Callithrix jacchus: one gene and its partners. The protein of the gene in region 5 interacts with the protein of the main gene of each other region in a pairwise test. Links are inferred from orthologs where the notes say so. Each region holds a gene or a part of one and is shown on either strand. Other genes may lie near its edges.

Evidence for each region.
Region 1: the proteins of HOMEZ (region 5) and NCK2 interact in binary tests that used the Homo sapiens proteins (3 or more experiments, as listed by UniProt). The two-hybrid records come from large-scale screens. The link is inferred for Callithrix jacchus from reciprocal best matches to the Homo sapiens genes HOMEZ and NCK2.
Region 2: the proteins of HOMEZ (region 5) and LRRC7 interact in a two-hybrid assay, tested with the Homo sapiens proteins (2 studies listed by BioGRID). The two-hybrid records come from large-scale screens. The link is inferred for Callithrix jacchus from reciprocal best matches to the Homo sapiens genes HOMEZ and LRRC7.
Region 3: the proteins of HOMEZ (region 5) and ELOA interact in binary tests that used the Homo sapiens proteins (3 or more experiments, as listed by UniProt). The two-hybrid records come from large-scale screens. The link is inferred for Callithrix jacchus from reciprocal best matches to the Homo sapiens genes HOMEZ and ELOA.
Region 4: the proteins of HOMEZ (region 5) and SDCBP interact in binary tests that used the Homo sapiens proteins (3 or more experiments, as listed by UniProt). The two-hybrid records come from large-scale screens. The link is inferred for Callithrix jacchus from reciprocal best matches to the Homo sapiens genes HOMEZ and SDCBP.
Region 6: the proteins of HOMEZ (region 5) and SMYD1 interact in binary tests that used the Homo sapiens proteins (3 or more experiments, as listed by UniProt). The link is inferred for Callithrix jacchus from reciprocal best matches to the Homo sapiens genes HOMEZ and SMYD1.
Region 7: the proteins of HOMEZ (region 5) and RNF8 interact in binary tests that used the Homo sapiens proteins (3 or more experiments, as listed by UniProt). The two-hybrid records come from large-scale screens. The link is inferred for Callithrix jacchus from reciprocal best matches to the Homo sapiens genes HOMEZ and RNF8.

What each region holds. Positions count from the first base shown.
Region 1 is NC_133515.1:15,944,663-15,948,654, reverse strand, and holds part of NCK2 (cytoplasmic protein NCK2), read right to left. Parts: intron 2,231-3,992; coding exon 1,509-2,230; intron 1-1,508. UniProt on the Homo sapiens protein: Adapter protein which associates with tyrosine-phosphorylated growth factor receptors or their cellular substrates. Maintains low levels of EIF2S1 phosphorylation by promoting its dephosphorylation by PP1.
Region 2 is NC_133508.1:107,307,060-107,311,051, forward strand, and holds part of LRRC7 (leucine-rich repeat-containing protein 7), read left to right. Parts: coding exon 1-1,133; intron 1,134-3,992.
Region 3 is NC_133508.1:60,494,328-60,498,319, forward strand, and holds part of ELOA (elongin-A), read left to right. Parts: coding exon 1-680; intron 681-1,054; coding exon 1,055-1,166; intron 1,167-3,003; coding exon 3,004-3,159; intron 3,160-3,266; coding exon 3,267-3,364; intron 3,365-3,992. UniProt on the Homo sapiens protein: SIII, also known as elongin, is a general transcription elongation factor that increases the RNA polymerase II transcription elongation past template-encoded arresting sites.
Region 4 is NC_133517.1:14,796,677-14,801,288, forward strand, and holds the start of SDCBP (syntenin-1), read left to right. Parts: upstream 1-1,369; 5' UTR 1,370-1,396; exon of another isoform or gene 1,397-1,415; intron 1,416-4,612. UniProt on the Homo sapiens protein: Multifunctional adapter protein involved in diverse array of functions including trafficking of transmembrane proteins, neuro and immunomodulation, exosome biogenesis, and tumorigenesis.
Region 5 is NC_133509.1:57,617,340-57,620,927, reverse strand, and holds the end of HOMEZ (homeobox and leucine zipper protein Homez), read left to right. Parts: coding exon 1-981; 3' UTR 982-2,798; downstream 2,799-3,588. Other genes in the region: E3 ubiquitin-protein ligase RNF212B, read right to left, coding at 3,353-3,421. UniProt on the Homo sapiens protein: May function as a transcriptional regulator.
Region 6 is NC_133515.1:26,030,906-26,034,897, forward strand, and holds part of SMYD1 (histone-lysine N-methyltransferase SMYD1), read right to left. Parts: intron 1,421-3,992; coding exon 1,231-1,420; intron 1-1,230. UniProt on the Homo sapiens protein: Methylates histone H3 at 'Lys-4' (H3K4me), seems able to perform both mono-, di-, and trimethylation. Acts as a transcriptional repressor. Essential for cardiomyocyte differentiation and cardiac morphogenesis.
Region 7 is NC_133505.1:45,698,360-45,702,351, reverse strand, and holds part of RNF8 (E3 ubiquitin-protein ligase RNF8), read right to left. Parts: intron 655-3,992; coding exon 526-654; intron 1-525. UniProt on the Homo sapiens protein: E3 ubiquitin-protein ligase that plays a key role in DNA damage signaling via 2 distinct roles: by mediating the 'Lys-63'-linked ubiquitination of histones H2A and H2AX and promoting the recruitment of DNA repair proteins at double-strand breaks (DSBs) sites, and by catalyzing 'Lys-48'-linked ubiquitination to remove target proteins from DNA damage sites.

The DNA of each region.
Region 1 (3,992 bases), on a different chromosome or scaffold from region 5:
AACACCTTTTTCATTTACCCTCTAAAGTCTTTCCTCTTTTCCCCAAATCCTAGGAAGAAAGAATAATGATTGGGGCCAATATCTCCACACTGCAGGACTTCCCTCTGAGAAGTCTCTTCAAACTCAAGAATTTTAAGCCAAGATCATATTTTGTGCATTATCCTTAGCCCTTAAGCACTCTGGACCAAGCACTTAATATTGTAATTGGTTTTCCAGCGCTTTCTCTAAGTTTCTGCTCGATTGAGTTAAAAGCGCTGCTGTCCTTAATTTGCTTAAGGCTTCAAACATGATCTAAAGGAAGTGGTGCACAGAGCTCTCATCATGTGAGAACAATTCAATGTGATGTCTTGCCAGGAATGATAAACCCTGGTGACTTGATAAGAAAATCTCAGAGTTCAGATTTCAGATGAAGTTAGCTTTCAGGCTGGCATGCCCTTCCAAGTACATCTAAGGCTCCACAAAATTGATGACACCATAAAGGAGCCCAGTCTCCACCACCACGATGCTCCTTCCCCCAAGAGAAGCAGTTGCCTCTTTCTGGAAGGCTTTGAATGCCTCTCAGATCAGTCAACAGGACTCTTGAATGTACACTTACTCATGGTGCTAGTAACCTTTTCAGAGGACAACAGTGGCAGTAGGTAGTACATAGTAGTCTTATAGTGTGCATTTAAAAATGAAACTGAAGCCTACTAGAACCAATACAATACAAATACATCAAACTCTATCTCCCAAATGCTTGTTTTGGGGGTCTCTCTGTAGAAAGCGTATTCGGAAAGACGTTTGCAAAACTGGTGGAGTATTTCCATCACACCCAAAAAGGCTGCCTTCTGGGATGCAGGCTCCAATTGACCCCATGCCTGAAACTACCCCCACAGCCTGCCCACTGCTGGAAGTGGTCTGCTGCCCCAGTCGAGTGACCTCCTATCTCCGACTCACTGCACACACACAAAACTCATCTCTTTTAAGAACCCTTGTTTTCTTTTCAATTCATCTCCTAAGTGCTTTAAAAGCTTTTCAGAGATGAACTCAGTGGCGCTGCCTGGCGAGGCAATGACCTTGGGATTATATGGTTTACAAAGAAAAAGCAAGCAAACAACAAAAGGCAGTGTCAGAAACCAGCCACAAGGCTTGCAGTGACTGCTTTCTCTGGGAGACAGACCGAGTAGAAACAAAGTAAATCACTTGGGCCTTCTGCTTACACAGAATGGGCAACCAGGAGAGAAAATGATGTTTGAGCCCGTAAAATACAAGAGGGGGAATCTTAGGAGAGAAGCAGAACCACCTCTGTGAGCTAAAAAAAATTTTTTAATTAACCTTCCAACTCCAGAAATGGACACATACTATCCCCAAAGCAGATGTAAGGAAATCACGGAGTAGCCAACGTTATACTAAATTGCATTCATCTACATCTCCCACTTCGCACAATGTGAAAAGGGTGTGGCACACAGAGCCACCTTGCAAGGCGCATTTACTGCCTCCAGGAGAAGCAGCGGGCGCAGCGCACTTACCGAAGACTCGCTGTCCCTAATGAGGAAGTCGCCCTCTACGCCGCGCTCATTGAGGGCGCACTCGGCCTGGTGCCGCGTCACGTTCCCGTAGTACCACTCTCTGCCTGCGAAGCGCCCACTGGACGAGGGCCCGGTGTAGCTTATCTGTGGGGCGTGCGCAGGGTGCAGGGCGGGCCCGTCACTGAGGACCACCACGTAGTTTTTGGGGACGAGGCCCACCTGGCCCCGGGCATTTTTGCATTTCCACCATTCGGGGTCGTTCTCAGGCTTCTCGATCACCTCCATGGTTTCCCCCTTCTCAAAGTTGAGCTCCTCGTCGGTGACGGAGCTGAAGGGGTACAGCGTCTGGACCACGTGCAGCACACGGGAGCCCTGGCCGTTGCTCAGCGAGGCGCCCTTGCGCAGGCTCAGGAAACTCGGGGACTCTGCAGCCGCCTCATCCACCTCTTCCAGGACGTAGTTGGAGGGGAACCAGCCGATCTGCCCATTGTAGCTGCCCCGCCACCAACCGTCACTGCACTTCTCCATGACGGTGACGCGCGACCCCTTCACCAGGGACAGCTCATCCTCCCGCTCCGCCACATAGGCGAACTTGACAAAAGCGGGGATGTTGAGGTCGTAGATGCGGTCGGCGCCGCTGCCGTTGGCTGGGTACTCGGCGTCCGTGCTGGGCGTGGGGGACGCGTCCCGCGCGCTGGTCTTCCTGCGCGTCTTGCCGAGGCCTGTGGAGACACAGCAAGGCTCAGTGGCGCGGGGCACTTGGACACCACCCCACTCCCTAGCTTACTGGGATTTCCACACAGTTTCTCTGGTGGTTAAATACAAGGGGACACATGGACAGTACTTACTGTGTGCAACAGGCTGAAGCCCTGTCTCTAAAATCAAACAAAACCAAAAAGTGCAGGAGTACCAGTGACACAAAAGATAAGAACAGTAGAAAGTTTCCTTCTGAAAGAATCATTTTTAGAGCACTGTTGTGCCTCTCAGAAAAAGTCTAAACACAGAAAAGTATCTTTTTCATTTCTAGAATGACTGGGAAGTCGGACTAACCGAATTACCATCAGAAAAATTAGGTGCTGACAGCTGCCTCCTATAGTTGTGAAAGTATTTCAAGTTGAGAATTACTTACATTGATCTGTTTTACCCATAAAAACACGTCATGGGGCCAGCACAGTGGCTCACACCTGGAATCCCAGGCTTTGAGAGGCCACGGTGGAAGGGTTGCTTGAGGCCAAGAGTCTGAGACCAGCCTGGGCAACACAGCAAGACCCTGTGTCTACAAAAAATCACTCCACTGCACTCTAGACTGTGCAACAGGGTGAGGCCGTCTCTAAAATCAAAACCACAAAGTACAGGAGTACCAGTGACACAAAAGATAACAAGAACAGTAGAGTTTCCTTCTGAAATAACCATTTTTAGAGCATTGCTGTGACTCTCAGAAAAATAGAGTATAAACGCAGAGAAAACATCTTTTTCATTTCTAGAATGACTGGGAAGTCAGACTAAATGAATTCAAAGACCACTCAGAACTCTAAGACCGATCCAGTCTTAGGGAGCACGGCCACACCCTGCCCTGTCCTGCCCCCAGCTGCCTTGCCATGGCTTCCTCTACTCCTTGGACACTCACTGCCCCTACCCTCACCCCTGGGCAGCTTAACAGCCCTTCTGGGCAAAACCTTTCTTCTCTTCTTGCAATTCTTATCTTCTTTCAAACAGCAGACTAATTTCCCACAACAAATTGTGATGAGTGAATTAGGAAAAATTAGCTGATAGCTTAAATCGAAGGCAAAATTTTTCATACTGTGATTCAAAGCCCACTAGTGGATGATGAAAATCACTTTAATGGGTTGCAACCAGCCTATATGTATGTGTTGAGTTTAAGGGAATAAAGTAGAAAATTGCAGTGCATCAAACACAATTACAATAAGTGCTGTTTCTTCAGTCACAGATGTGAGTATTGAATAGGAATGAGAAACATTGTTTCCTGTGCATGAGGAAAAAAGCTAGAAAAGCCCTAACGTAAAAATGTTTTGGCCGGGCACGGTGGCTTACGCCTGTAATCCCAGCACTTTGGGAGGCCAAGGCGGGTGAATCATGAGGTCAAGAGATCGAGACCATCCTGGTCAACATGGTGAAACCCCGTCTCTACTAAAAATACAAAAAATTAGCTGGGCACAGTGGTGCGTGTCTGTAATCCCAGCTACTCAGGAGGCTGAGGCAGGAGAACTGCCTGAACCCAGGAGGCGGAGGTTGTGGTGAGCCGAGATCGTGCCATTGCACTCCAGCCTGGGTAATGAGAGTGAAACTCGGTCTCAAAAAAAAATAAAAAAAAATGTTTTAACTGCATGGAATTTCGGAACATTCTAGGAGAGGAAAGCATGTCAGCCCCAGAGCTGGGGACACACCCTGCAGAGGCGGACTGGCCTTCCTCGGCTGTCCTGAAGGATGAGTGCTTTGACCTCTACCTTAGCCAGTGTGGAGGTT
Region 2 (3,992 bases), on a different chromosome or scaffold from region 5:
TCTTTTCTCAAATCCACTGCCGCCCGGAATCTTCTAAAGGTGTTATTTCAATTAGCAAAAGCACAGAGAGGCTTTCTCCCTTAATGAAAGATATCAAGTCCAATAAATTCAAAAAGTCACAGAGTATCGATGAGATTGACATTGGTACATACAAAGTGTATAACATACCATTAGAAAACTATGCTACTGGGAGTGATCACTTAGGAAGCCACGAACGACCAGATAAGATGCTGGGACCAGAGCATGGTATGTCCAGTATGTCTCGAAGCCAGTCAGTCCCGATGCTGGATGATGAGATGCTCACCTACGGAAGTAGTAAAGGGCCACAACAGCAAAAAGCTTCTATGACAAAAAAAGTCTATCAATTTGACCAAAGCTTCAATCCTCAAGGATCAGTGGAAGTGAAAGCCGAAAAGAGGATACCACCCCCTTTTCAACACAATCCTGAGTACATGCAACAGGCCAGCAAAAACATCGCCAAGGATTTGATCAGTCCTAGAGCTTACAGAGGATACCCACCGATGGAGCAGATATTTTCATTTTCTCAGCCATCTGTGAACGAGGATGCTGTGGTGAATGCCCAGTTCGCAAGCCAAGGGGCCAGGGCAGGCTTCCTGAGAAGGGCCGACTCCCTGGTGAGCGCCACAGAAATGGCCATGTTTAGGAGGGTCAATGAGCCTCACGAGCTGCCCCCTACTGATAGGTACGGCAGACCTCCATATAGGGGAGGGCTGGATCGCCAAAGCAGCGTTACAGTGACTGAGTCCCAGTTCCTGAAAAGGAATGGCAGGTATGAAGATGAACACCCTTCATATCAAGAAGTGAAAGCTCAGGCGGGAAGTTTTCCAGTTAAAAACCTTACCCAGAGGAGGCCATTGTCTGCAAGAAGCTACAGTACAGAGAGTTACGGTGCCTCCCAAACCAGGCCAGTTTCAGCTAGGCCTACTATGGCAGCTCTTTTGGAAAAAATACCATCTGACTATAACTTGGGTAACTATGGTGACAAGCCATCAGATAACAGTGATTTAAAGACGAGGCCTACTCCTGTGAAGGGAGAGGAGAGCTGTGGTAAAATGCCTGCAGACTGGAGACAACAGCTGCTTAGACATATAGAAGCTAGACGGTTAGACAGGGTATGTCTGGCGTTTCTCTGTAAGAATATCCCTCCTGCCTTTAGTGTTACTTTATTGGCATTTCTAAGCACATGTAGGGAAGCATGAACTACGTGAATGAATTAGATGATCAGTATTTATCTTTATATTGTGGGGGAAATGGATCATAATAGTCTTTCATGGATATGACTAAATGCTCTCTGAGAGTTCATAACCTGCAGGGGCATTATTCATCAAATCTAACCTAAATATTGTTAGTAAGAAAGAATTTGACTCCAACCGTTAGAGGGGATGGTGCTTCAACTGCTTTCTAGCCATTAAGGCAAAATGCCTCTCCTAGGACACAAAACTGTTCTCTAGTGACCTAAAGAGTATGATTTTTTTATTAAACCTATAAAAGGAATATTTCCCCCATTTCTGAATGGACTCACTTATATTAAAGTCAGGCCTAATTTGTTTATAGAATTTACACATAGTTACTGCTATGGGACTACCAGTTATTATATCTAATGAGCAATAATCTTCCCAGTAAGAAACAGAAAAATAAGCAGGGATTAAATGCTCTCCTACACATTATTTTATTTAATAAAAACCCTGGCATTTAGAATGTTGGTTTTTATACAGAAAGAACTGTTTAAATTCAAATTATACTGCAGACAACAAAAATATATGATGTCTTTATGAAGACAACAAACATACAAATTAGTGTATATATTGCATCGAAAAAGAAAATTAATTCTAATTCAGTTAAAAATTGAGTCGCAATAGGCCAGGCATGGTGGTGGTGGTGACTCATGCCTGTAATACCAACACTTTGGGAGGCTGAGGTGGGCAGATCACAAGGTCAGGAGTTCAAGACCACCCTGTCCAACATGGTGAAACCCTGTATCTACTAAAAGTACAAAAAAATTAGCCAGGTGTGGTGACACATTCCTGTATTCCCAGCTACTCAGGAGGCTGAGACAGGAGAATTACTCGAACCCGGGAGGCGGAGATTGCAGTGAGCCAAGATTGTGCCACTGCACTCCAGCCTTGGCGACAGAGTGAGGCTCCATCTCAGAAAAAAAAATAAAAATACAATTAAGCCACAAAAAAGCATGTAATATACAGGGATTGGGGACAGTAAAAAAAATCATATGAAGCATGGAATTACATTTTGTTGCTTTTCAAATCTAAGAGAAAAAGAAACCTGATATTTCATTTTCTAGAACTATTATTAATTGACCATTGCCATTCAGTATACTTTGTAGCTTTAGTGTAGAGGGCTTAATGTGCTCTGCATTGATATTAGAATCTTAAAAATCCTTTTTGTAAAAATGGGGCTTTTTGTTCTCATTTTCTAGGGTTGAATGTTCAGCGTAAATTGGGGATCTGGGTAATAATATACTACTGCAATGTCTCACTCAGTAGTTTTATTATTTTATTTGGTGTCCTGCTAAAAGCACAGGTCACTGCATTTATTGTGTATTTCTTTAATACTGAATTTTATGTTTACAGATTTACTCTTTTCAAATAGTTATATTGCTTGTAGGTCGTGTCTACATGACAAGAAAACAATTTTTTCAGGGAAAGAGTTAACTAATAAATGTGGGTGTGGGTGTCTCAATGTGGAAACTGATTCTGCCTTGCAAAATATTTCATCAGAATGTCTGTTTCAAATAGGTTTGCTCAGTCCCATTGAAGGGATCCTCATCAAAGCCTCATGACTGGCTGTCAGTGGGAGACACCTGGTCAGTTGTCACCATGCCTTACCTCAAGTATACCCTCCATGTAGACAGATAACTTGGAGGGCGAAAATATTTGGGGCCAAATAATACAGTACAGTTTGGGAACTCTGGCCTTGTGTAGACACGACCATACATAACAGGGTAAGATGAACTAGTCAAGAAAGGTTGTAAGAAGCTTTTTGGAGCATATGTACAATGACTAGCAATTTGAGGCAACAGAGGAATGAGTGAAAACAAAGAATGAAAAAGAAAAGATAAAATTCTAAGCATTTGGTACCATCACTTAGTTACAGGTGTCCAGATCACTGGTTTCTCTCCTTTGATCCCAGCTACTGAAAAGTAGGTAACTCTTCTAGATGAAGCAAGAATTTTAAGCAGGAACATCGGGTTAGGGGAGAGAGATTTCAATCAGCAAAAGTTTGGAGGCCCTGCATATCCCAGATAACAAAAAGCGAACTCGCGTATTTTTTCATTGCTGTGACGACACTTCCTTTCTTAGTTGGTCTTCTTATAGCCTCTGTTTGTGTACAGTTCCCTAGGTGTCTTTTATTTTTCAAAGCAATTTCAATGTACATTCAATAGCTTCTCACTTAATTCCAATAAATTAAATGACCTTAGACTATCGCTTTGAGCTATCAGATCCTAGAAGCTCTTTCTTTTGTTTTCTCCAAGTCACATTTCTTTCTATCTTTCAGCTGAGTTAACTGAGCTATTCAGGCTATATCTTTCATAAAACTTCCCAGCTACTCAACAAGACAAATTCAAGGTACTGAAGCACAGACATTATGTAAAACTAGTTTTGACATAGCTGTGCTGCTTAACATTCTGTCCAAAGGCAGACTGCACCATAGAAATAATGTGCTTCTTTCCAGTGAAATTTAATTGAGTCATTTGAACCCTGAAAACCAAATAGTTACACTGGAAATTACAAGATCTTTGTCCATTCCACATAAAAGACAATTGCCTAGAGACTTGGATGTTGGATAAGCTTAACAGTTCAACATAACATTGATGAAAGATCTAAGTGTTGACCTTGAAGAAGCAGCTCCAACAAGTACCCTAGATAAAAGATGCTTGTTTCGTCTTTTAGTTTAACTGTAAGGCCCATGCTTTCACTGCAGAGCCACACTGTGACAGGGAATTTGAAACATGA
Region 3 (3,992 bases), on a different chromosome or scaffold from region 5:
ACAAACGCCCTGTGGATGCCAAGAGTGATGAGAAGGCCTCTGTGGTGAGCAGAGAGAAATCACACAAGGCCCTCTCCAAAGAGGAGAACCGAAGGTCGTCCTTGGGGGACAGTGCACGGGAGAAACCGCCCTCTAGTGGCGTAAAGAAAGAGAAGGACAGAGAAGTCGGCAGCCTGAAGAAGAGGTCTTTGCCCCCCTCGGAAGCTGCTTCAGACAACCACCTGAAGAAGCCAAAGCACAGAGACCCGGAGAAAGCCAGATCAGACAAAAGCAAGCAAGGTCTGGACAGCTTCGATGCAGGAAAAGGAGCAGGGGACCTGTTGCCCAAGGTCAAAGAGAAGGGCTCTAACAACCTAAAGACTCAAGAAGGGAAAGCAAAGACTAATTCGGATAGAAAGTCACTGGGCTCCCTCCCTAAAGTTGAGGAGACAGATATGGAGGATGAGTTTGAGCAGCCCACCATGTCTTTTGAATCCTACCTCAGCTATGACCAGCCCCGGAAGAAAAAGAAAAAGATTGTGAAAACTTCAGCCACAGCACTTGGAGAAAAAGGACTTAAAAAAAATGACTCTAAAAGCACTAGTAAAAACTTGGACTCAGTTCAGAAATTACCCAAGGTGAACAAAACCAAGTCAGAGAAGGTGCAGCCGGCTGGAGCCCATTCAGCCAAGCAGAGAAAGGTAACCCCTTCAGCCCCTTACTGGCTTCCCACCCAGAGCACCGGGCCCTGCAAAGCTCAGAGGATCGCCCTGTCATTGTTTTCCTTAGCTTGCTTTTAGGGGACCTGTTGAATTTCAGTTTGCAGTAATTTCCTCTGGGCTTCACTAGTTGTCAAGGTAGATTGTACCCCAAATAAGAATCTCCAGCACTATTCTGTTGTGATGGGCCCATCTGTATTTCTTTCCTGACTGAGGTGTTGTCAGACATGACTGTGGCCCCCCCAGCCTGGATCTTCCTGTGCAGGGTGTCCCGTGAATGCTCCTGGGAATAGCCTGTGGGAAAGGGGGCTGTGCTGGTACTCATGGTCTCTCTCCCCGGGGTCTGTCCCCTGCAGGTGCCTGATGTGTTGCCGGCGTTGCCAGACCTCCCGTTACCCGCAATACAGGCCAATTACCGTCCACTGCCTTCCCTTGAGCTGATATCCTCCTTCCAGCCAAAGCGAAAAGGTAATTTTCTATAATCTTCTTTTTCTTAATGGAGAAAAGATTTAAAAATTCATTCAAGGCAGCGTGCAGTGGCTCACACCTATAATTCCAGCACTTTAGGAGGCTGAGGCAGGAGGATTGCTTGCGGCCAAGAATTCTAAACTGGCCAGGCGCTGTGGCTCATGCCTATAATCTCAGCACTTTGGGAGGCCTAGGTAGGCATATCATCTGAAATAAGAAGTTTGAGACTAGCGTGGCCAACACAGTGAAACCCCATCTCTACTAAAAATACAAAAATTAGCCGGGCATGGTGCCACATGCCTATAGTCCCAGCTACCTGGGAGGCTGAGGCAGGAGAATCGCTTGAACATGGGAGCCAGCAGTTGCAGTGAGTCATTGCATTCTAGCCTGATCAACAAGAGTGAAACGCCATTTCAAAAAAAAAAAGTTTTGAAATAGGGTCTCACTCAACCTCAGCTGCCTGAGTAACTGGGACTACAGGCACATGCCACCACACCTGGTTAATTTTTGTATTTTTAGTAGAGATGGGGTTTCACCATGTTGGCTAGGCTGATCTCAATCTCCTGACCTTGTGATCTGCCCGCCTCAGCCTCCCAAATTGCTGGGATTGTGGGAGTTAGCCACTAGGCCTGGCCAAAAAAAAAAAAGAGTTCTAAACCACCCTAGTCAACACAGCAAGATGCCATCTCTACAAAATAAATAGCCAGGCATGGTGGCACATACCTGTGGTCCAAGCCGCTCAGTAGGCTGAGGTGGGAGGATCACTTGAGCCCAGGAATTCAAGGCTGCAGTGAGCTATGATTATATCACTTCACTCTAGCTTGGGTGACAGAGCAGTACTGTTTCAAAACAAACAAAAAACTTCTATCACTATACCATCAGATTTTTGGTGTATTTCCTAAGTGCATATACTCTGAAGTTTGATGGCTTGTGTTTGAATACCAGTTCTGGTTTCTAAAAGTTATATGACCTTGAGAAATATCTTAATTTCTTTGGACCTTAGTTGTATATTGAGTAAATGGGAGTTATAATGGCATCTGCCCTATAGGGCTCAGTTTGGTGAATTCGAAAGTGAAGTCTTTTAGCTCTGGGCTTATCACATAGTAATTGTTCAGTAAATTGATGCTGCTATTAGCAGCCCTTTATTCTATTTTTTACCTATGATTTTTGTCTGAAAGAAAAAAATGTCTAACTTCCATAGCAAAAGAACTAGAAGCCACATAAGTGTCCATCAGCAGGAAACTAACAGATAAATCATGGTTTATCTACACAGTGGCATCCTATGCCACAGTGAAAAAAAAAAGTAGAATGTCTTTATGCACTGACATGGAATGATCTGTAAGATGTGTATGTTACTGATTAATTGGCTTAAAAGGAATAAGAGACATTTGCTTTTTTTGTTTTGTTTTGTTTTGTTTTGAGAGGGAGTCTCCCTCTGTTGCCCAGGCTGGAGTGCAGTAGCTCCATCTTGGCTCACTGAAGTCTCCGCCTCCTGGGTTCAAGCAGTTATCTTGCCTCAGCCTCCTGAGTAGCTGGGACTACAGGCGCGCACCACCATGCCCAGCTAATTTTTGTATTTTTAGCAGAGATGGGGTTTTGCTATGTTGGCCAGACTGGTCTTGAACTCTTGACCTCAGATGATCCACCAGCCTCCCAAGGTGCTGGGAATACAGGAGCTTATTTTTAAAGTCTCTGGAAGAATCTACAAGAAACTGTAGCATTGATTGCCATTGGGAAAGGGAAAGGGAAGTAGGGGCTGATGTGGGTAGAAGGAGAGTTTTCACTGGATCACTTAGGGCCTTTTGTAACTTCCTGTTGGGTTTTTCTTGCCCTATAGCATTCTCTTCACCCCAGGAAGAAGAAGAAGCTGGATTTACTGGGCGCAGAATGAATTCCAAGATGCAGGTGTATTCTGGTTCTAAATGTGCCTATCTCCCCAAAATGATGACCTTGCATCAGCAATGCATCCGAGTATTAAAAAACAATATCGATTGTAAGTCACACGCTTCTCTCTAGCTCTCAAGCACATTGTAGCATTTGGACCTTATCACTGGGTGGCTTGGCTGCTATTCAATGCCTTCACCTTTGATTTCTCTGCAGCAATCTTTGAAGTGGGAGGAGTCCCATACTCCGTTCTTGAACCTGTTTTGGAGAGGTGTACACCTGATCAGCTGTATCGCATAGAGGAATACAACCACGTGAGTATTCTGTTTGGGTGGGAAGAGGGCAGTTTTCTCGCTTGTTCCTCCAGAAATTTGTGACTGCCTATGGCTGAAGGGCAGATCAGTAGTCACAGCACTGTTCTGGGTCTATGTGGTTTGCCACTGAGGCTTTAAACAAGCATGTTATTAGCACTTGCTCCTGGCATCTTAAGTGGGCCTCTTGGGCTAGGATCAAGGTGGGATTCAAAGGGAGAAGAAAAACACTTTTAACACCTCCGTTGAGCTTGCCTGGTCATGAAGGTCAAGGGAGAATTCTGGCAGCAGAGCAGCTGGGACCCAGGGTGGGGATACTACTTCGTGTTGACACTGACATCTGGTGGTAGGCTGGATGTCTCTTAAGAGACATCACGATCTATCCAGAAATCCTCCTTATGATGTGGATATATACATTTGATTGCAGCAGCTGTCTCTAATTCTGAGAGTTCTGTAACTTAACGCCTTTTTCTTGGCGGTGGGGGAAGACAGGGTCTACCTCTGTTGCCTAGACACTGCTGTACAGTGGCCTGATTATGGCTCACTGCATCCTTGAACTCCTAGGCTCAAGCGATCCTCCCAAGTAGCTGGGACTACTAGCACATACCACCACACCCGGTTAATATTTTTA
Region 4 (4,612 bases), on a different chromosome or scaffold from region 5:
TGCTGACATGAGGACCAAGGGAATGGCTCACCGGACCATTTTGGTTTTTGGAGTAGGGATGGTAAAGCTGTAATTATATAATGAGAATTTCATAAATGCCAAAAAAAATCCAAAATTGGAAACATTTCTGGTCCCAAGCATTTTGGCTTAGGATCAGCTTGTTTTAAACTTGTTCATGAAAATTTACTGTAATTGCTTTTCATTCTATTTTTTAGGGGAGGGGTGTCAATTTTCCTGGATTTTCTATGTTAGATAACCATCTCATCTGAAAACAAAAAGTTTTATTTTCTCATTCCCAATCTACCTTGTGATTATTTTTAAACGTCCATTTTCATCAGCCTAACTACATATAACCTTACTGAGAGCAAAGTTTTCTTTTTTTATTTTTAATTTTTTATTGCATTTTAGGTTTTGGGGTACATGTGAAAGTTTTCATCTTTAGTTGTCACCTCTTTTACCCTCAGATTTTTTTTATTAGTTTTGCCAGATATGATTGTGGCACTAATTTAGCTATAAACTGCTTGTAAATGCTATTTTGTCAAGCACTCTACAGTATTCCACGGTAACTATGATTATTCTTGGGTAAACTGTGCCTCAGTCTGTCTGTAATGCGATGTTGTATTTATTTTATAGACTGATGTGAAGACCAAATAAGACTATACACTAAGTTCGTAGAGCTATGGCTGGCACATCATCAGCCCTCAAGAAATCATCGTTATGTTTTTGTATTAGGAAACAGTAATTACTTTTGCGCAGCACCACACAGAACTCTCAACAGCGAAGGAATATCAGCTCAGGCGGACAAAGATTAGTAACTTCCCCTTCGACCCCCCACATTTCAAACAGAAAAATAAGGCAGGAGTTGAGAAGGGGTAGTGAGTGAGAGGAACATTTGTGAGCCTATGGTGGAGAGGTACAGCAAGAGGAGAGTGAGGTTAGGACAGCAGTGGTGGAAGTCGAAGGCATCCCAAGAGGGAGCATGGGCTCCCGAGACCTGTTTGAATTGTAGGCGACCAGAACCAAGCGACCGTGAGCTGCTATACACACGGTAGTGAGTGGGTGGAAAGGGGCCAGCGGGCACGAACTGCCAGAAGAGCGGAGAAGACGCGGAGCATAACCGCGGGGCAGCGGCCAGTTGGCACAGCGGGCCACCTGCACGGCCCTACATTGCCAGATACCGGTAGCTGCAGGAACTACCCACGCCCAGGTCCCTTTACTCCCGCCGCCCGGTTACCTAGGGAACCGGATCACCTGACCCGGGGCCGTGCGCCTGCGCGGGCGGAAGGCGGGGGCGGTGCCGTGACGCGCCTCGGGGGCGGTCCTCCGGCTCTCGCCGCTCTGCTACCCTTGGGCCTCAGAAGTCCGTGCCAGTGACCGGAGGAGGCGGCGGCCGTGAGTGAGTCCTTGTGGGCTAGGTGAGAGGCCGAAAGGGGGCAAGAGGGACGCCGGTGCCGGGTCCCGGGCGCGGGGACGTGGGGCAGAGGCGTGATGGTCCCCGGGCCTTTTAACCGAGAGCGTCCTGGTCGCAGCCGTTTTCGGGAGGCGGCGGCGACGCCCTCTCCTCAGGGGCTCCGCGCCCCTCCCTGCGCCGTGCTGGCTGCGGGGCAAATTTGCGGGAGCAGCGCGCTCTGCTCCCCGGGACCCCGCGGGTTTCGAGCTCCTCTCCGGGCTGGGGCTGGGGCTGGGGTGGGTAGAGCCCCGAGGCACGGCCGGGTGAACGCCGGCAACCGCGGCCCCAGCTCTGGGATTCTTCCTGGGACCGTCTCTCGATCCTCGTTGTTCTCGCTCGCTAAGATCTCGAGACAAGTAAAGAAAGAGCCTCTGGCCGCGGTTTCTCCCCGCGTTTCTTGGGCTGCGCTTCCTTTTGGGTTATTTGGAACGTCCTGTCTCCCCGCGTTTCTTGGGCTGTGCTTCCTTTTGGGTTATTAGGAACGTCCTGGATTTGAAAGCAGGAAGGAGGTGTTTAGTGGGCGAAACCTTGACTTGTTTGGAAGCGGGTGGGGAGAGGTTGTTCGCCCTGAGCTTTTTCCTGGTGCTGTTGGACCTGAAGGAGAAACGTTTCCCGCAGAGTATGTTTAGAAGGAAATACTCCTGAGATCTGATGACTCACAGCTTTCCTTTCAGGATTTCCTTGTAATGATGGGAAAGGGAAGGCATATGGATGCGGAAAGTTTTTACTTTGATCAAAGTGGGATTATTGAGTCATGGAGGCTTCGAATGTGCACATTTTTGAAAGGAGTTTCTAGGATCATCTATTCTATATAACCGCATACACATTTACGGTTATTTTTTCCATTACGTACTTTCCTTAGAAAGTACACTCGGTTTACCGAGCTCTAACATCCGCTTGTTTAGTCTCTCCATTATAAACGAAATTGAACTTCAGAGACATTTTTAGTTTTGGGCATTATAGGAAAAGATGTAAAAGTCATAAAAGGGGAAGAATTTGCTAATGGTTGCCAGTTAAATGTACTGTTTAATTAAACAGTTTCTTAAAATGTGCGTGGCACAACTATTTTCCCTGTTGCCAGATTTGGGTCCTTTTTATAGGTATTAAATGCCAAGAGATTATAAAAAAGGAAAGCTCCCCAAACAACTTTAAAATACTTTCTACACTTAGTAATAGTTACGTTCACATTGATTAATTTTCTTTCAAGTGCTGCCAACATCTTTTGTAAATATTGTCTTCGAGTAGGTAAACGGTCACGTGTCTCAAAATTTAAGCAGCATACAAAGGTATATAGTATGAAGTCTCCTTCCTTTTGGCAGGCAGCCAACTGTTTTAAATTTCTTGGGTATTCATCCGGGAATATCCTATCTACACAGGCAAACATACAAACTGCATCTGTCTCCTTTCTTTTAACATAAACGTTAACATTTTATATACTGCTCCACATTTTGCTCTTATTTTTCCAGTTATTGATAATATTTTGGAACTTTCTAATATCAGCATATATAGCTTTCAGGTCTTTGGCTGTTACAGTCAGTGCTGCAGTGAATGAACTTTTACATATGTTGCTTCCTTTGTGCACATGTGTTTGTACAGTTCAGGTCTTGAAATGATACTGCAGAGTTGAAGGGTATTTGAATTTAGAATTTTAGTAAGCTACTGCAAACTCATTCTCCATGGGAATTGTACTAGTTTACGCTCCCACTAGTAGTGTATGAGTGTTTCTCAAAGCCTTGCTGTCGGAGAGTATTGTCAAACTTTGGATTTTTGCCAGTTCAGTAGCTGAGAAATGGAATCCTAGGGGTAAGAATTAATTATTCTACTTAGAGTGGACTTTATATGGACATACTTCTTAATGCCTGATCTTCAGAAACTCCCAGGATATTTATTAAAAAGCAGAGTACCTAAGTCCTTCCATGAAATTTGTATCTGTTCAGGAAGCTGAGGTTTTTTGTTTTTTGTTTTTTGTTTTTTTTGAGAGGAGTCTTGCTCCGTTGCCAGGTTGGAGTGCAGTGGCGCAATCTCGGCTCACTGTAACCTCCGTCTCCTGGGTTCAAGCGATTCTTCCGCCTCAGCCTCCCGAGTAGCTGGGACCACAGATGCATGCCACCACGCCCGGCTAATTTTTTTGTATTTTTAGTAGAGACAGGGTTTCACGATGGCCAGGATGGGCTCGATCTCTTGACCTTGTGATCCGCCTGCCTCAGCCTTCGAAGTGCTGGGATTACAGGCGTGAGCCACCGCTCCCGGCCCAGGAAGCTGTTTTTATAATAACTAGAGCCTCTGGTAATTTGGCTCTGATGAATAGCCATATTGAGAACATTGCTCTGGAAGGCTGCTTAGGATATATAAAATTGTGTTTCTAGACTCCATGTATGAGCTATCTGGAATGCTTACCATCTGGGGGACATGTTATTTTTTCATTTTTTTACTTTTTATTTTTTTTGAGATGGAATTTTGCTGTGTTGCTCAGGCTGGTCTCAAACTCCTGGGTTAAAGCAATCCTCCTACCTCGGCCTCCCAAAGTGCTAGGATTACAGGCATGAGCCATGGTTCCTGGCCTGATACTTTATTTTTATTTTTTACATTTTTCATTCATTTTATGAATAGTTCGCATAAGTGAAAATAAAGAGATAATGCAACACAACTTTACTAGAAATTTTAATAACTGCTTCAACAAAAGAAACACAAATTAGTATTCCAGATTTTCCTGGTTTTGAAGATATGGATAGTTGAAATAGGCAGCATCTTTAAATTTAACTAATTGCTCAACTGTCATGTAATATTTTTTAAAAATCAGTGATTCTGTAGTCCTAAATTTTTATTTTTCCAAAATGTTTTTAATACAGTGGTTCCCAACATTTTTGGCACTAGGGACTGGTTTCATGGAAGACAGTTTTTCTATGGACAGGATGAGGGGATGGTTTCAAAATGAAACTATTTCACAAGGAGTGTTTAACCAAGATCACTATAGGGTTCCTGCTCCTATGAGAATCTAATGCTGCCACTGGTCTGACTTGAGGTAGAGCTCTGGTGGTAATACTGGCTCACCTGCCACTCAGTTCTTGCTGTGTGTGGGCTGTTTCCTAATGGGCCACCGACTGGTATTTGTCCTCGGCCTGGGGATTGGGAACTCTTGTTTTAATAGCTTAGATTAAAACA
Region 5 (3,588 bases):
CAAAGCAGTGGCCTCTCAAAGGAGCAGGCAGGCAGGGGTCCCAACCAGTCACACGGCATAGGTACTGCTTCCTGGAACCACTCCACAACTGTCCTCCAGCCACAAGCACGGGATAAGCCCCCACCAACTGCATTAATTGCCAGTAGTTGTAAGGAGGAGTCAGCATCTAGTGTTACTCCCTCTTCTTCCTCTACCTCTTCTTCCTCTTTCCAGGTACTATCTAATGGAGCAACTGCCACCTCCAAACCCCTTCAGCCACTAGGCTGTATCCCACAGTCAGTGTCACCCAGTGATCAGGCATTACCCCCACACCTGGAATCAGCCTGGCCCCATGGGCTACGGCATAACTCATTACCAGGTAGGGTTGGTCCCACAGAGTACCTATCCCCAGATATGCAACGCCAGCGAAAGCCCAAGCGCAAAACCAAAGAGCAGCTGGCTATCCTCAAATCCTTTTTTTTACAGTGCCAATGGGCACGGCGTGAAGATTACCATAAGTTAGAACAGATCACTGGTTTACCTCGGCCTGAAATCATTCAGTGGTTTGGTGACACACGCTATGCCTTGAAGCATGGGCAACTAAAATGGTTTCGGGACAATGCAGTACCTGGTGCCCCTAGTTTCCAAGACCCAGTAATTCCTACACCACCTCCACCATCAACCCGCTCCTTGAATGAAAGGGCTGAGACACCACCTCTGCCGACCCCTCCACCCCCACCGGATATGCAGCCCTTGGAGAGGTACTGGGCAGCCCACCAACAGCTACGGGAGACTGATATCCCTCAACTGAGTCAGGCTTCAAGGCTTAGCACCCAGCAGGTACTGGATTGGTTTGACTCTCGATTACCTCAGCCAGCTGAAGTGGTAGTTTGTCTAGATGAAGAAGAGGAAGAGGAGGAGGAAGAACTGCCAGAAGATGATGAGGAAGAGGAGGAGGAAGAAGATGATGATGATGATGATGATGTGATCATACAAGACTGAGTGGGGAGCTGGGGGAGGGGAGGTCTGTTACTAAAAGATGAACCAACTTAGCAACTGTTTAAACAAAGAAACCACATTTTTAAAATTACCTTGTGGCAGAGAACTAAAAAGTTTTGTGTTCTTCAGGGTGGGTGGCAGGGGAATGTAGTGAGGGTGAACCAGGGAGGATGACCATAGGGCACTAAGTAAGGCTGGGATTGGATCAGCAGAAATCCAGACCTCTAAGCTCAGTGTAGAGTGTACCAAGGATCTGGAGAAACCGTGGGCTGGGAAATGGCATTTGCCCTCCTCATGCCTGCTGTTCTTTTCCCTTAGTGTACTATAGAGAGGCCAGACCTTGGCCACACCTCTCCAGGAGGATTGGAAAGGAGTAAAGGATTCTAATTCGATTGATGATTCCAGTGCATCCCCAACCCTACCATCTTTCCTGGAATATAAGGCTCCCTTGCACTCCTTTTCTGAACACAAGTCTGTGTGTAATGCAACTGACTCTCTTACTTTTTTTCTTAATGACTGATCATTTCCTAGACAACTGAGATTCTCAGTAAGTCCCAGTCTCATCACAAATATTAACTTCCTTTTCCTCATACATCATGATTTTATATGTTTCACCTGCTTCATGACTGAATCACAGGTGGCAGAATATTTTCATTTCTTATGCTGGGACCACCCTTTGCCTTGTAGCTTTTTCTCTCTTTCCAAAATCCTCACTCTGTTCACTATTTGTCTCAGGGTAAATCTTCCCCCACTGAGCTTGTGAAAAACTTTAATTGGGTGGAGAATAATTTAGAATGGATATTTATTAGAAAAGAAGACCTTTTAAAAAGTAGAATTATGTTACAAAGGGGTGAAAGAGAGGGAACAGTTTCTCCTGGTTGAAGGGCAGTGGAGGTAGGTTTCAGGTTTGGTTTTACAAACCTCATAACGACCTTCTGTCCAGCTTGACAGAGACTAATTCTTCATCTTTTTGCTGCCAGTTTGTTTCCAGAAAAGAGACTTTTCCCTCTCTTTATAGGATCTGTCTTAGGGACAGAGGGACCATGGTCTTTGAGTCAATCAATTATTGATGTTTTAGAATGGTTTTCATTAGTTGGGAACAGCTATATGGCAAATAGGTATCATCAATGAGTTAACCATCTAAAAATAAAAGAGTGGAAGCCCTAAGATGCTAGAATAGTAATAAAAAGGCCAAAAATAAAATTGTTTCTCTCTCATCCACTTTGCTACTGCTATGGTTTAGGGATTAATGGAACCAAATCCATTAACATTCGAATTCAACATACTTTTATTGTTTGAAGGGGCAGGACTTATTGAGGTAAATTAAAAGAAAAACAAAAACTTTAAAAGGAAGTAGCTCAGCATCTATCACCAGGCAGATTGTTTCTCAGCCATCAAATGATAATGACTAAAATTTCTGAGGCTTCAGGAGTAACAGAGATACAAGAGTCTTGGAGGTAACTCCATTTGCTACAGAACAGGCTCTTGCCCAAAAGAGAAGGTGTCTAGAAATTCCTTTAAAAATAAATTCAGAGTACCAGAAAGGGTATGGGGATCCTAGTTCAGATAAACAAGATAATTCCCAAGACCTAATTTATTTCTGACAGATGCCTGCTATTTTCTGTTTTCCCAGTATTTTTGCTTAAGGCCAGTTTGTGAGTGGCTAACATATTAAATTCCTCATTTCTGCCATTTAGTACCCAAAGTCGAATACATGTTTGATCTCAGTGGTAGTGTTGTTTGCCATTCCACCATTCCAGAGCTTGTAATAGTGATAGAATCGTAGCAATAAAAGGACATCCTCTTAATTTTACTACCTATATATTTTACTAAGCTGAAAATCAGTGTTTCTAACAGTTGTTTTCAATAGAAAGGAAAATTAACATATTTAATAGTAATTAAGCATAGAGGAAACAATAGGCAAACAGAAAAAGTACAAGGACAAAGAACAGAGATGTTTTGTTTTGCTTGTTAACACTGACAATGGGAGAGTATATCCAAAGCTAAAAATTAAAACCAGAAATGAAACAGTGATGCGTATATGACCCACCACATCCCCATTCCCAACTCCCAACCAAATATGATGCCAAGAATTATTTTTACAATCTTTGTTTCAAGTTGTAGGAAATGAGGGAAGCTACCTGTGTCTTCTGGAAGAGATATAAACATCATCTTGAAGCGCTAGCCTTTTCTAAGACCTGACCACTGTCCTGGGAGGAGATAAGGGTGAATAGGGTAAAGATGAGGAAGCATAAGGTAGAGTGAAACCAGGAAACAACACCAGGGTACTTTTTCCAGAGCCATCACCCCAATGGGTACTGGATGCTACAGTCTATCTTTCAGCAGTATGTATACATCAGACCTTGAAGATCGTCTATCTAGAAGTGCTCCATGCTCCTCTTCTACTGGGTAATCCAGTCTGCCTCTGTTGTTGGTAGGGAGTCTGTAGCAGAGGACAAGAAGGTAGATGTGGTTGTTTATAACAACAAAAAGGGCAAGCAAATCTCTCTCAACCCATTGTATGAAGCTTATTGAGACAGAAACCACTGCTGCTTCCCCATAGTTTTTTTCATTGCATGACAACTAACTTTTCCAAACTAGGATTTGCTA
Region 6 (3,992 bases), on a different chromosome or scaffold from region 5:
AGAAACTTTGATTCTCTGAAAAGGAGGTTGTTCCCATAGAAAACGTTAATCCTTGGGCCCCAACTGCTTTGTCTCTGCCTGGGAGGGGTGACTCTCAATCTCTTCACCCCAGGCATCACTGGTCACAGTTCCCTCCTCCTGCTTCTGTCTGTATAGACAGAGTATGCTTGCAGGCACAGGTGTGTGCGTGTGTCTGTATGTGTGTGTATGTGTCTTTTAACATTCATAAGTGGTAGCATACACAGTGTTGGGGGTTAAATTGCATCCTCCCAAAATTCATATGTTGAAGTCTAGCCCCAGAAATAACCTCAGAGTGAGATATTACTTGGCAATAGGGTGACTATAGATGTAATTTGTTAAGGTGAGATCATACTAAAGTAGAGTGGGCTCCTAGCCCAATATGACTGGTACCCTTATAAAAGAGCTTGCCATGGGAAATGCCTCCATGCCTTTACTGATCTCCCTCATCCTCCCCCTGAACACAGCTTCACCGGAGGAAACGCACAAGAGGAGTCAGCGCTTTCTTTGGTTTTAGCTTCTTGCTTATACTATTGCAATCAGTGATTAAATACTTCGCTCTCATTTCTGCTTTGTTGCTTTAACTGGCTACTCTGACACCTGGTGGCTTAGCTCTTTCTCCCAGCTCAGCTGGGTTCCTGACCTCCTCTCATCAAGCCTTCCTCTGCTGCACAACACACTCACCATCAATTGGCAATAGCTACCCAGGAGTTCAGGATGTTGACCAATCTAAACATAGCCCTGCCTCCACATTGCCCATCCCCATGGGACTAGGAATGTTTTTGTGATAGCCAGAGAACAAATCTCTTTGCCCATCTGATCTCAACATCTTAAATTATCAGCATCACTCAACTCAGAAAAGAGCAAGAGGAGAAACCAGAACTTGCTGTGTCTACTCTGCATGCCACTCCTTTAACACATCATCTTCTTTAATCCTTCTAAGAACCTCTTGCTTTGGGGCCATCATTCTTATTTTACAGTTGAGAAAACTGGGCGACTTTCCCAAATTCAAACACCTATAAGTGGCAGTGCCAGGACATAGCTGGGACCTACCCATATAGTGCTCTGCTCTCATCCTCTGCCACCTCCCCAGGGTGACAGCTGCTCCCTAGGAAGCTCATGGGCAGGGCACACTGATTAGCTGTGAAACCACCTGTGACTGTCTCCTGGAGAAGATGGACACAAACACCCCAGCAACAGGGCTGTGTGTACCTTGGGGTTGTCTTTCACCCCCAGAAAGAGGTCATCTTTCAGTTTTTTCTGACAGTGTTCACACGTGCAGTCAAAGTAATACTGCTTCTTCAGCTGCTTCTTGCGTTCTTCACTGACGTTGAGGAAGTCGATGTAGGACACAGTCAGCTCCTCTCCTTCCGAGATCTTGCCCAGGGCTCGGAGCTCAATTCTGGAGCAGAGTGAAAGGAAAAGGTGAGTTCAATCCAGGCCTACTGAAATGGGATCTGTGCTCTCCAAGGCTTCATGGAGTTGGGCCTCAAAGACAATGGCTTTCACTGGCACTCAGAAAACTCCCATTGCCCCCATTAAAGAAGAAATGTGACCTAAAGATGGTTTTCTGTATAATTTTACTCTATTCCTTAGAACAGTCCAATCCACTCCATTGAGTTAACTGCTCTGGAATCAGCTCAGATAGATTCCTACCAGAGAGCTGGGCTCAGTCATAAAACCAGGCAGAATGTCTATGCCTGTAAGTCTCCCCTTACAGTTAGCTACTGATTATCTATAACAAAGAAAGGGAGAAATAAGGCAAAAACTCCAAACAAGAGAAACCTGAAAATCTTTTCTGATTAGTTTGGGGACTACTCTCTCAGAAACATACACATTCGGTTACCCACAACCTTGGCCCATTCTGTGTCTAACTTGAAGTTACCTCTTAACCTTCACTCCAGTGGTTTAGGCCAGATTACATAAGGAGACTTACATAAGGGAAGGCAAATAAACAAAGGCAAACAAACAAAGGTTGGCTGTGTTAGCTCACTGCATTGCTCACTTTTGTGTTTATTGGGACATGTGGCTTATTGGTTGAAGGTGATTAGCAAGAGCAGATGGCATTTCAGTTCCCTTCTAGCCTAGATCTGACCCTCAATTACTTACAGCACTACCCACCTTACCTAATGTGATAGATATTGAAGATTTTGAAGGTAAAAACCCACTGCAGAACTGACATCCAGCTGAGCCAAACAGGTAGAGGTCAGCCTGTGGACCTCTCAGCCATGCATTCTCCATCACAAGGCCAGACAGCTACAGAAAACAAGCGGTGGGCCCTGTAAGCTGGGTCCTAAACCGTGCTCCTGTATCTCCCCAGAATGCTGGGGCTCCCCTGCCTGATGGGAAGCCATCATCCAGACAGCAAGTGGCAGGATGCAGAGGGCTAAGGAGAGTAACTGCACAGAGATCCGTGGTAATTTCTTTTACATCCCAGAAAGGCTCAGTTAGACACCATCCAAAAGCAAGGGCAAGACTCCAGCACCCAAGAACAGTCCCAGTCAAAGACAGCTCCTTCCTTGTACTCTGAGATGACAATCAAGGGAGCAACTGCTGAATGGTAGTGACATCCATGTTCAGGCATCTGAGGTGACCACTTACAGATAAAAATCCTTCTCCCAAAGCAAGATACACTGATATGCCTATTAATGTGATAATATGTATAAAAATAACTCCTGAAGTGCCTGCTCACCATTTGTCCCTCCTTTCCTTTATTCCTTACCCTAATTTTCAGCAGCAGCGGTTACTGAAGTGATGAAAAGCCAGTAGGAGAGGAAGGCCAGGTGATTCTGCTCACATTTCTGCTTAGAATCCTAATATGTCTGAGCTTCAGGGGACACTCATTCCATAAATGAGCATAGTGACACAAGGATAGGTCCCACTACACTTTGGGGACAGAGCCAGGATTAGAACTTCATACCCTCATCATAGCAGCCTTGCCTGGTTGTTTTCAGGCTACCTCCTGGGACTTCAGTGCAGGGGAATTAAGATGCATCAAAGCTCTTGCTTTTTAGGAATCTACTAATGTCCTAAATAATTCTATGTGAGCAACTCCTGGGCCAGGATAGAGTGTGGATCTCTGGTGTTTAGCCCTGGTGGGTAAGTAACCAATTCCTCCCCAATGAGTCCCTTTTACAGAGGCAGTTCACCATAGTGACATATTCTAATTCAACAGTGAATCAGTGGCCAATTGGGCTGGAATTTCCAGTAATTTTTCTTCCCACCATGATTGTGCCAATTTTTGCACTGTCTCAGGGTGTCTCAGATTATTTCAACGGCATTAGACATTTTTCAAAACCAAATTAAATCAATGTCACTTAAATATGAAAAAATGCATACATGTATGCCTGATTTTATCTTACTTGAAACTGGAGATTGGAAGAGGGGAATGGTGACCAGCCTGAAATAAGCGCTGCAGGAGGCAGGAGGGTTTTAGCCCTGGCTCCGCCTCCAACCAGCTTCCTTGGACAAGCTTCATCCCCACCCTGGACCACAGACCCCTTCTACCTCCAACAATTTGCAATTCTATAGTTCAGCTAATTGAGCCACAAGTAGGAAGCCTATTTAATTATTTCTCATGGAAGTTAGAGACAGCCCAGCGCTGCAGACACTTAGAACTAGGAAGGTCCCTAGAGCACTCTCCTCTTGACCTTTCTCTTCAGATGTGGAACCCAAGCCCAAGAGATGATGTGAATCATCCAAAGTCACGTACAGTGCACACCAACACAGACTCAATGCACCGGCCACTTCTACCCCAGCATTCCCAAAGCCCAAACTCCCACACAGCATCTTGTTCTTAATCCAAAGACCATGTCAAGGGCTGGTAAGCCCACCCTGAGAAAAAGACCCATCTGGAGCCGTTTGGTTGTCATTAAGAAAAGACAGAAGTAAAATTTAACCTAAACTGCTAATTCATAATTGGTCAGAAGCAGTAAGCAGAATACTATGAATAAACATTTATTTAAAGTATCAGT
Region 7 (3,992 bases), on a different chromosome or scaffold from region 5:
CACCAATATTTAAAACATGTTTTAAAAGGCAAGGGAAGGGAAGGTTGCTCAGATTGAAAGGAGTGAGGTGATTTGCAGTAGCTTTGAAGGAAAAAAATGGAAAAAAAAAAGTGAGGAAGGAAAGGAGCTAAGCAGTCAGATCAGTTTCTTCTCCGCCTGTTCACTGAGCCGTAGTGTACTCCAGAAGCTTCAGGAGATTCTACAGATTTCCAGGATCTCTGGAGCTTCGCCTCAAACAGGCTAATTTGCCCAGTAACTTAGTCTAGTTTCTGGAATAGGACCTCCTACCCCAATTCAGGCATTATCTTCAAGGTAACAAACTTCACCCCAAATCAAGAGAAATTATTTTAGCATAATCCAATCTCTGGCAGCATATGGAAGTGGCTGCCTCTGGAAAAGGAAACTGGATGGCTAGGAAAGAAGAAGTTATACTTTTGAATTTTATACCATGAATTACCTGTGCAAAAAAAACCCCAAGTAATTTTAAAATAAATAATATTCATTAGGCTTCCATGAATTCTGTACCTTGTTGTCCGTAATTGTCCACTGACCCTCATGATTCTGCTTCAAAACACAGTGGTTTCGAGAAATCATCAGAGGGCAGATTTTTGATACCAGTTGGTATGTGACACCAAATCCTCGTCCTACAGTCACCTGGGAAGACAAAAACAATGTAAGAAATACAATGTAACAAGTCATTGTGCTGAAAAAGGGAGGTTTTTACAAAGCTTGTCAACCAGCAGCATATGCAGGTCCTGACTTAAGAAAACAGACACGTGTGGAAGCAAAACAGTGCATCTGCTATCTCCTCTTTAGCTGCCATGAAAGCCACCAAGTAGAAAAAGGCAAACAGTTGTGACAAGAGGAGAAAGCTGAAAAGAGTTATCCATGTACCTCAGGGTTGGCAAGATCTTGAAAGGTCATCGGGTTCAGTGACCATGAGATAGAGGAATTCCTTCTACACATCCCATCAACTCATAAACACTGCCGGTCTGGGAGCGGTGGCTCATGCCTGTAATCCCAGCACTTTGGGAGGCCAAGGTGGCAGGATCACAAGGTCTGGAGTTTGAGACCAGCCTGGCCAACATGGTGAAACCCTGTCTCTACTAAAAATACAAAAATTAGCTGGGTCTGGTAGCGAGCACCTGTAATCCCAGCTACTTGGGAGGCTGAGGCAGGAGAATCATTTGAACCCAGGAGGCAGAAGTGTACTTTACATAAGGCAGGCCCTCCTATTTTTTTAATGTCTCTGACTTGGCGTCTTTCACCCTATAAATTCCATCCATTGTTGCCCTGGGCACCATCAGGAAATCTCTGATCCCCTTTCAAAGTCACAGCTATAAAGTGAACATTAAGTTTTCTCATTTCCTGGTTCTGTATTCCCAGTTACTTCAACTTAACTCCCAGGGAATGGGTTTGAGTCTCTTTGCCATTCTTACGAGTCTGTGAAAGGACTGCTAATTTATCTTTATTCCTGGATGCCATATTAAGAAAAATAAATTACACAGTCAAATGCAAGTGTTACTTTCCCAGTTCTAGATATTATCACTGACCGTATAAACTGCATTAGCTGTCATAACAGATCTAGTACACTGCCAATGTATCCTCGGACTCAGGAAAGATTAAATTTCTTGGTCTCCCCCTCCTCCAAGAAATGCTATGCTAAGTCATGTCTCTTTTGCTCTATACTTGACCAGATGGAAAACCTTAGGTTCAAGCACAGGACCTTAGACTGATTCCTACTAAATTTCATCTTGCTAGTTCAGCCTATCACACCAACTTGCCAAGACCTTTCTGAATTTTTAATCTGCCATCAGATCAGACATACTTAATATCCCTCCCACCAAATTAGTATGATATGATGCCTTCTATACCTTCATTCAAGACCCAGAATGGGACACAGCCAAAGGCAAAGTTCTCAGGAAAGTCTGAACATTAATCCCCACAGTCTGGATATACCCTGGGCCAATTATAATTCAACCAAAAGTCTTTTCATTCGAGTATATATTCTCTGCCTTATCCACAAGAACAGCTTGAGAGCTTTTGGAAAGGTTGAAAAGAAGCCCCAATTCACATCTATCATACTTTCCTGTTGGACAAATCTAGTTCATAACAACCCTATGAAGGAAGGAAACTAAATTCTTCCGAGATCCAGATCACAGAATTCCCTGCTTATTCTTCTCAGTGCATAAAAGACCTCTTTAATGCCCCATACCACAACTTTAACTGTGAACTTGAAACCAAAGTTAGCTAAAAACTGCCCTTTTCTTTCAAAAATCTTTCAGAATCATGCCTGTCCTCCTCGGTCCCTCAAAGACCACTATGACTCACTGACCTCATCGATTCCTCCCCACAGACTCTCATCTCAGTACTGACACTACTATCCAACCAACTGCTCAACCCATAACCCAGAAGCCATCTTTGATTCATCTCTGTCCCTCATCCCCACATTGAAATCATTGGCAAATTCTATGGGATATAATCCAAATATGTCCTAAGTCTGTTCATTTCTAGCTCTACAGCCACAACCTTAGTTCAAACCACCTGGCCTCCTACTGTTTCTGTTCCCACTCTAGCCCCCATAAACTTTACATACTAGCTGGAATAGAAACATAAAAATTTTAAATCAGATAATTCTCTTTTTTCCTTAAAACCATTTAATCACTCAAACTTCCTTCCATGGCCTATAAGACCCTGAATGTCCTAAGCCCCCTCCTCTTTAGTCTTAACTCATACCATAGTGCCAACACTAGCTGCTCCAGCCCCTTGTTCCTTAAGCCCCTCTCCCCCAAGTGCCAGCCTACTGAGGGTCTTTTTTCTTCGCCCCTCTAAGAACACGCTTATCTCAGATCTTGCATGAGCTCCTAATCTTTCATGTTTCGGCTATTCATAAGCCTACTCAGATCACCACTGTCTAAACTTGGTTGTCTGCTCCCCATCATATTTCTTCAGTTATTAGCATGCACTTATCACAAACCAAAATTATCTTGCTTATTTTACTTTTCCCCTCCTCCCCCCCTTGCTAGAATATACATGAGATAAGCAGGGACTTTATCTATCTGGTTTAACATTGTGTTTCTATACCTGGCATGGTGTTCAGTTAAATACTTGAGAATGAATGGTAGAATAAAGAGATCTTGCATATGAGTGGAGATTTTAGGATGCGTATTTTTAGGTTGGAAGCTGGAGACTGTATTACCATTGGAAAATATAGAGCAGCAGTTGGAACTCATATGGTCTCACTTGTTCCTCTTTAAAATGCTGTGGTGACCCCTCCACCAACACTGAGCATGAAATTTTTCAGTTCTTTCACACTTTGCCAGAATTACATTAATTATAGAAGTTCCTCTGAATTAATACATATATCTGTTAAAAATGGAATGGTTAGGGATTAATGTGTCATCCATATTGAGTAAAAATTTCCATTCAGGTAGCTTTATTTCTAAGAAAGGAAGCATCTGTATTGTAGGCTAATACCTGAAGGGAGACAGCCGGACTGCCATTGTGAGTAGCCTGGGGAAAATGGTACCAGAACAGTAGAAAAATGCCTTCTTTTGAAATTTCTGCCAACAGACTCTGAACCCAGAAAAAGGAAACATCCTTCCCTGCACTGCCGGGTCCTAGAATTTACCTTGGTACTACTGATATTTCACCTATACTATAGTTAAAGAGTGTGGTGAGGCTCCCTGGAAATCTCAGGACCACTCAGCAGAACACTAAATTTCCCGTGGGAACTGACTGATGACCCCTATGTGAAGGGCTGTTTTCCTTTACAATAGATTTGCAAGCCTTTGATCTTACACACATTGTTGGTCTGAAAGATCATCTTGTCCTTGTCCACCTTCACTATGATTATCCCTTTCCTCCTGCGCACAATTTCTACTGTTTCCCAAATAACCAGGAAATACAGCCGGGTGTGGTGGCTCACACCTGTAATCCCAGCACTTTGGGAGGCCCAGGCGAGCAGGCCAGGAGTTCAAGACCAGCCTGGC